Danio rerio: one gene and its partner. The main gene of each other region encodes a partner of the protein of the gene in region 2 in a complex. Links are inferred from orthologs where the notes say so. Each region holds a gene or a part of one and is shown on either strand. Other genes may lie near its edges. The genes, in order: sema7a and plxnc1.

Evidence for each region.
Region 1: the proteins of plxnc1 (region 2) and sema7a are in contact, whole or in part, in a crystal structure (PDB 3NVQ), measured with the Homo sapiens proteins. The link is inferred for Danio rerio from reciprocal best matches to the Homo sapiens genes PLXNC1 and SEMA7A. Residues at the interface, in NP_005752.1 of Homo sapiens: Arg131, Thr151, Glu152, Val153, Asn195, Pro196, Ala197, Ala198, Ser199, Asp200, His201, Thr203, Ala206, Lys208, Arg213, Ser214, Leu215, Ala216, Thr217, Gln218, Glu219, Leu220, Arg222, Lys224, Glu272, Ala350, Ser352, His353; in NP_003603.1 of Homo sapiens: Gln194, Tyr196, Asn197, Gly198, Lys199, Arg202, Arg204, Tyr213, Ser215, Asp216, Thr217, Gln270, Gly271, Gly272, Glu273, Ser274, Ser275, Leu276, Val278, Ser279, Lys280, Pro372, Thr375, Glu376, Phe378, Gln379, Asp382, Arg383.

The regions. Positions count from the first base shown.
Region 1 is NC_133200.1:29,209,648-29,213,336, reverse strand, and holds the end of sema7a (semaphorin-7A isoform 1 precursor), read right to left. Parts: intron 1,632-3,689; coding exon 1,573-1,631; intron 1,489-1,572; coding exon 1,112-1,488; 3' UTR 530-1,111; downstream 1-529. UniProt on the Homo sapiens protein: Plays an important role in integrin-mediated signaling and functions both in regulating cell migration and immune responses.
Region 2 is NC_133179.1:18,895,359-18,899,189, forward strand, and holds part of plxnc1 (plexin-C1), read right to left. Parts: intron 959-3,831; coding exon 855-958; intron 740-854; coding exon 698-739; intron 446-697; coding exon 321-445; intron 1-320.

The DNA of each region.
Region 1 (3,689 bases), on a different chromosome or scaffold from region 2:
CCACTTCCAACAGCAACCTAGTTTTCCCAAGTGGTCTCCCATCCAGGTACTGACCAGGCTTAGCCCTGCTTAGCTTTAGTGTGGAACTGGTCTTGGGCTGCAGGGTGATATGGTTATGGCCATACATTTTGCTAGTGTGAAAGGCTGTGGAATTCTTTCTTCAATTTCTTTCTTCCTCATTCCTCATAAGGGTCAAGGTGCAGTTTTCAAACGGGCAATCAACACAAAATCCCTATCTTCATCACAGCCATAATGTAGAACAATAACCTTTTCTTCATAAATAATAAACTGAATCTTAAAGACCTTCACGCAAACACTAAATATATAGACAAAAAATAAAAACTTGCTTCAGGTTAACCACACTCCTGAAAACCTCTCTGCCTTTATTTGAACCAAAACTTTTTTAAAAATCCAAGTGACTATCGAGCAGATATTTATTTAATAATTTCTTGAATTTAATTTAAGTTCATGTAGGAGGGGAGGGGTGATAATAAGCAGTTCATATTTTATTCAAATTTAGTCCAGTGGCTTTTTTTTTTTTTTTTTTGTATTGGTAAAGATCAATGTTGAGGGTCAGTCTTAAAGTGCTTTTTGATGTTTATATATGAAATTTTCTTTGTAAAACAGTGTAATTCTCTCCCTGCAATTTTTTACATCTTGTCACAAAGCATTTTATTTCAGGGTTGTTTTTACTTGATTTTTTAAAAATTATTATTATTATTATTTTTTTTTTTTTTTGCTGTTATAAAAAAAACACATTACCAATTAAATGTATTACTATTCTAATTGTTAGTAATATTTACAGGGAATCTCCAAACATAATATCTGTGCAGCATGTAAAAAACGCTGTCAATGCTAAATACTGTATTTTCAGATTCCAAAGAGTTTTAGACTTTGGTACTCCACTGTACCAATTCAGCACATACTAAATAGATGGTTAACATATAATGGGAAGTTATCTTCTAGGATGTGCACTTCAGTGCTGACTTTGTAAGACAATTATCTTTGCCCACGAACCACTAGCCTCTTGACAACGTGACTGATGTTTTAATCAGCTTAAATGTCGTCAGAAATGCCTAAAGACAGAAGCACTTACATAACAAGCTTGACCTTAAAGTGAGCACAGATAGAAGGCACTCGTGACAAATGCTACCATTAGCTGCCGGTCTTGTATTTTCAGCTTGAAAGCATCATTAAAAACAGACTTAGCAAGGAGTTCATATTCTCTCACAACTTTGATGTAATCACGTTCCTGGGAAACACAACTGTAATTGCCATAATTCTCAGCCGTCATAGCTGGGATTAGGAGGAGGTATTCCGATTGGGTCTGTTGACATGGGTTGCTTTTGCCCCCGTGTTCCCATCTATAACTGGCATGATGTGAATCGACCGGACAAGATAAGTAGAAGGGGACATCAGTGGCCACAGTGTGTTGAATCCTTGAGGGAGCAGTAGATGACTGTTGAGCGTCTCGTCTAACTCTTCCCACTAAAAACATTTGTTAGAGATACATGAGATTGGAAGACTTATTTTGTCTTGTGTCTTAAAACAATTATTGGATTAGTTATATACCTGATTTGTGGTCACATACTTTAGTGACATTGCCATCAGAAATGTTTTGTATTCCTCCTCTGAAACAAAATCCAAACAGAAAAACATTATAGTCTCACTGAAATAAATGTCTTATTGTAGCAATGAAATAAAAATGGAGTCTTTGTATTTTTATGTGTATATAACTGTGCTAGTGGGCAACGCGGTGGCGCAGTACGTAGTGCTGTCGCTTCACAGCAAGAAGGTCGCTGGTTTGAGCCTCAGCTGGGTTGGCATTTCTGAGTGGAGTTTGCATGTTCTCCCCGTGTTCACGTGGGTTTCCTCCGGGTGCTCTGGTTTCCCCCACGAGTCCAAAGACATGCAGGACAGGTGAATTGGGTTAGCTAAAATTGTCTAAAATAAATGTATGAAATGTGCTAGTTATAAACAATATATATATATATATATTAGGGTTGTAACGGTATGAATTTTTTACGGTATGATAATCGTCTAAAACAATACCACGGTTTCGCGGTATACGGTATTAAATAGTAATTCTCATAGCAAAGACCCTGAAAAGAATAAGAACACGTTTTCTGACTGAACAAAGGTTTTTCTATGGGGGAAAAAAAATGCATTTATTTACTGACAATGTATTTGCCCAAAAGGTCTGGGAATGAACTAAACAGAAAAAAAATGTTACAAAATAATAGAACAGTGAAGCAAATTTGACTTTTTCCAAATAATATATTTTCAGTTACTATAAACAACACCACTTACAATGAACAAATAAAAAAAAAAGGAAATAATAAATAATGTGTCAAAGTCCAAATAAACATGGTGCAAATCCTCAGTAAAAAAAATAGATATAAATATTTACTATACTATAAATAGTTACATAACGAAACTAGATTCAATATGGAACATCCTTAGGTTTTATGTGCCAGCATGGATATGGTTGTCTGTGGATATGGATTTGGATATGGTTGTCTGCAATGCAGACAAACAGCTGCACCTTCATTTGCGTCTTTTGAAAACAGCAAGAGCAGCACTTCGTCTTTGCTGTGTCACTGTTTTGTCATGTTTCTGTGCTGCTGTGCATGCAAAAGTACTTAGTATGAGAATTATTTCATGCAAAACTTTTTTTTTTTTGCGTTTTATTTAGCCGCGCATAAATGTATGCCTATCTCTCATTCGGTGTTGTTCAAAAAGCTCATTGTTGGTCCACAAACAAAAGCGAAACCTATGCTTATTGGTTGTGATATAGCGAGTTTGAACCAATCTGGGCATGGAGAAAGGACAATGCATCAATGTATGTCTGGTTTGTCCGGAGACACAGTGACGAGCGTTTCTTTGTCAAATCAGCGTTGTCAAATTTTGATGACGTAACCGCACTGATTCTGGAGCCTCTGAAAGTCCGTAAATGTTATGTGATACGGCACTGGAAGATTCTCTTCTTTATGCCAATCTTTGAATTGTATGAATCGGATCAGCGGATCAAAAGTTATTAAACATTTAAGAGCAATACTTATTTTTAGCCGCGGGCGGCTGTCTCGGTCTTTAAGGGTTAAAACCGTTGATATGCAATTGTTCATGGTATGATAATCGTGCACGTTCAAATCGTGGTGGACCGTCATACCGGTATATTGTTACAACCCTAATATATATATATATATATTGTTTATAACTAGTATTCTTTATTAATCCGGGGTCGCCACAGCGGAATGAACCGGCAACTTATCCAGCAAGTTTTTACGCAGCGGATGCCCTTGCAGCTGCAACCCATCTCTGGGGGGAAAAAAATAATAATAAGTAATAAAATTATATATATATATATATAAAATATATATACATATATGAATAAAACCCAATAAATGAAGAAAACTCAAATCAATTGAGTACTGTAAAACCCAGTTAGTTAAGGCAACTCAAACCGTTTGAGGAAACCGATTACCACAAACCATTTGAGTTAAAAAAAAAAAATCTAAATGAGTACTGTGAACTTACTCCATTCAAGTTGAACTAATGAGGTATTTGATTAACTCATTACCTTCGACACAGAGTTCATAACTCTTTTGAAATGAGTAGAATTAACTTTCGGTGAATTAACTACATACAGTGAATAAGGTCAACAAGTATTTAATCACCCTGTGATTTTT
Region 2 (3,831 bases):
TTGAACTGAATCTGAATCTCAATAGATTGAATGAAATCAATCATGCTGATGTATATTGCAATTATGTGCATGAACAATTTTAGTTAAATTTTTAAACGCTGCTCAGGCAAGAGTTCAAGCAAAACTATTACGGCAATTAGGTATTTTTTAACTTAAAAACAAACTAAGCACATTGATGTTTCAGTGTGGTCAACATTTTCAGAATAGAAAACACACAGACATTATCTCTGTTGACAGCTAGACCGATCAAAATAGCCCCAACCATCACACAGAGGTAAGAATGTATTTAAAACATCTACAACAAGTTGTTTTTAACTCACTTGTCTTTAATGCTGAAGTTTTTCTGTTCCTCTAATGCATGCACAAAACAACTGAGAAACTGCTTATCTCTGATCAGCTCTGCAAAAGCCAGGCATTTCTCATCGACAGTTGTTTGCTCAGAGTCCTGGCCACAAGAAAAGACAGTAATAGAGTTAAAACTTTAAGCATGGTTTCACAGACATGGTTTATACTTAAGTTCAATATTTAAATTACTTTTTTTTTTTATAAATGTGGCTTACAAAAAACAAAAAGCACAACTGGCGTCCATTTTGAAACAAAACAAAACCCTGATATATTTAAAGACCAATGAGTGCAAGATACTTTCATTTGAAACAGCATTGAAGCCTCGTCTGTGAAAGCATGGTAAGATTCTTACCTCCCCAATATCTCTAATCATGACTGCTGTTAGAGTACCAGCCTAAAGAATATAAGAATATAAGAAAAAACATCTATAATTTAGAATAAATGCCTAAAAAGTCTATAATAGTCGATAAACATCAAATAGTAAACTTAAATAAATAAAACTCTTCAACCTCTGGAAAGAAGATTCTTGACGCAAAGTGTTTATAATCCAGGAAAGGTATGGCTCCAACGTTATCAATTAAGTCCGATTTTTCTGTTTGCAAGTCAACAAAGCCTGTCAAAACAAACATAAACAATTAAATATGCCACAGTTGCAAGAGTATGAAGTCCACATCACATAGCTGTCTTACGTTTATAGCCAATGAAAGTTTTTCCACCAACTGAACAATCAGTATGTTGTACACAAACAACAGTGCAATTCTAATGATATCTACTTCTATACACTATGGCCTCATTTCAATTCTTGTCAAGAATTGATTATGCCACAAACTTGACTAAGGCCTATGAGAAATGTAGGTCACAAGTTCCATGGTGCAGTACTTCAATAAGGTGGCAGCTGCCTCTTTCCTTTTGTAGTTTTGTTGTTTAATACACTAAAAACTTTTTATTAATGCCAAAGCAATAGGATGAAAGAGACATATGTTTAAAAGAGCCCTTGGTGCTAAGGGGGATTGCAATATCAAGAAAGACGAGAAAAATCAATACTGCTAACGGATGCTTGTTGCACTTGTGTTACGGCCAGCTCACACTGTGCAATTTTTTTCATCCTGAACGATTGTAGCATGTCAGACTGCACAAACATGGCTCCCATGTCACACTGTAAGATCTAAGGTGTCATAAAGTCAGATTGAACGACAATGAAGATGCGCCAAACATGAAAGAAAACGCCTCCGGAGTTTGACATCATCCACCGTGACACTTTCTCTCGCGTTCTGAAATGACTGAAATGTAAATCTGTAGCGCCAATTTTGCACACAGCGAGTCACAATAATTAAACCAGGAGGAAAAAAACTGTTTTGACATTTCCAGCGGTCATTTAAATTCTAATCAAATCAAATTTGCTGCTCCTATTCTCTTTTTGGATTGATGCACATTGCAGCTGTTGTCACACTTCAGTAAAATGTCTGAAATCTTTTTTACACTGCTAGAACTTCATCTGAGAAAAAATCTGATCTTAACGGGCACTAAGCGGCTGTCACTGAACATGTCAAACCAACGATCAAAGATCACAGATTTTAGCCTAGGACTTCTTTTAGGATTTTCCAAATTTGTCTCAGATGACAAAACAAAGGAGTAGTCTAAATGCTCAAAAGGGGGAATTTCATTCAAGCTCATTTCCGCCACAATGAGGAACAATTATCCCACAGGACGGAGCAGTGTACTGCTGAGTACTTGTTGGGTGAGCCATCTTACAATCATATTGTACAATTCAGTACAATTATATTGCATTGCATTTGAGGGCATCTAAATTTGTTTAGGACCAAGTAGCAGTATGTTTGGAAAGACTACAGTTTTGTTTTTTTTCTCTCAAAACTCGATAGGAAGAAAAAAAGAGCATGAAATGTTGAAGGGGATCAAAATGCTAGAGAGAAAAGTTTGGAAGAGAATAAAACCAGCTGTTGTCCACAGTTGCTCATTTTAGTGTAGCTGTTATGACTTGCTAGGATAGACAGATGAGTTTGCCGTGTCAGCTGGATCACAGAGGGATGATTGTCATCTACCAGGAGACAGAGTAGTCGCAATCATTCACTGGATGCCAAAGCCTGCAGCTATACACTGCCACAAGTAAGAGCTTGAAGGACTATTGGGGTTACTGCTGGATGCCCAAATTTGGGGGATACCTGACATTTGGTCTCCAATCACCAAGGGAAGATAAGATAGGAGATTCAATAAGGAATATTTTTTTCCTTTCCCTCTCTTTCCTTTTTCCTATGAGTTTCCTTTTTCTCACTCTCCTAGCTTTTACATTTTCTCTAGTTGATAGTGTTGTAAGGCTGAACATTATCAAAAGTATTTGTTTTTATTGCAAACCATATCTTTCTAACCAAAAGAGACTATTCAAATTTCAAAACAAAAAAAAAGTGCTGATAAAGATCATGGCCATGGCATGATAGGCCTTAAGCTAAGAAATCCTTTAGTTTGAAGGTTAAGGCTATAGTTAGCAAAACTCAACTTACAAGGCTCAACTAAAGGAATTTAAGGCTGGCATTAAGTATTCCCCTCTTAATGATCTAAGTGTTCCCTTAACCGTTGCTACAAAGTCCTTAGTAACCATTTCCTCTTAACAAATTTAAGGGACCAAAACAGCTCCCTTAAATGAGCAAATTGCATTCAAAATGCAAGCATCAAAACCCAACGTCAGGCTGACGTCAATGTCCAACCTAAAATCAACCAATTAGCAACGTCTAATCATGTTACAACTTGAGGTTGTGTGGACATCACCACTATGGTCACTTTCCTACACAACATAAAATCAACCAAATATCAATGTAATTTGATGTTGTTAACAAATGTAAACATAAGGTTGTCCTCAGACTCTGGCTAGACATTGACGTCATGATCTAAATCTAACCTAATATTAATGTCTTACAATGTTGTGTGCCTGCTGGGTAATATACAGAATGTGTCAATAGCAAGTCTGCGCAGGAGTGCATCTATATGAAATTGCAGTTTCAGTGCAGCTTCAAAAACCTGGCCGAGTTTTATAGGTCCTCCATACATAATGTCCAGATCGAAACGAAAAGGGAAAGTGTCAACACACTTAACAGAGGCTGATAACATTTCTTTACTGAACCACTGTAGTAGACAACACCTTACAAATGTCAGTGTTGTTTGAGTAGAGTAAAAATGGTTGAGGGAAGTTGGATGATGTGGGAATGCTGGATAATGAGAGACACCTGTGCAACACGCCTGTCTCGAGTCCCACAGAAGACTTCCAAAAAGACAAAGAGCAGCAACAATAGTAGAGGACTCTTTATGTTTATTAAAGTTTGTTTAAGCTGAGCAGGCCTCTTTTCTTCCCACACTATGAACAGTGCAACATTGAAGGCAAAACCCGAGAGGAAAAAAAGAGGTCTTTCTTGCTGCTGAAAACAGCTGCTCCCTACAGCTGCTCGGTGCAGTGGTGCAGGAGTGACCTGCCAGAGG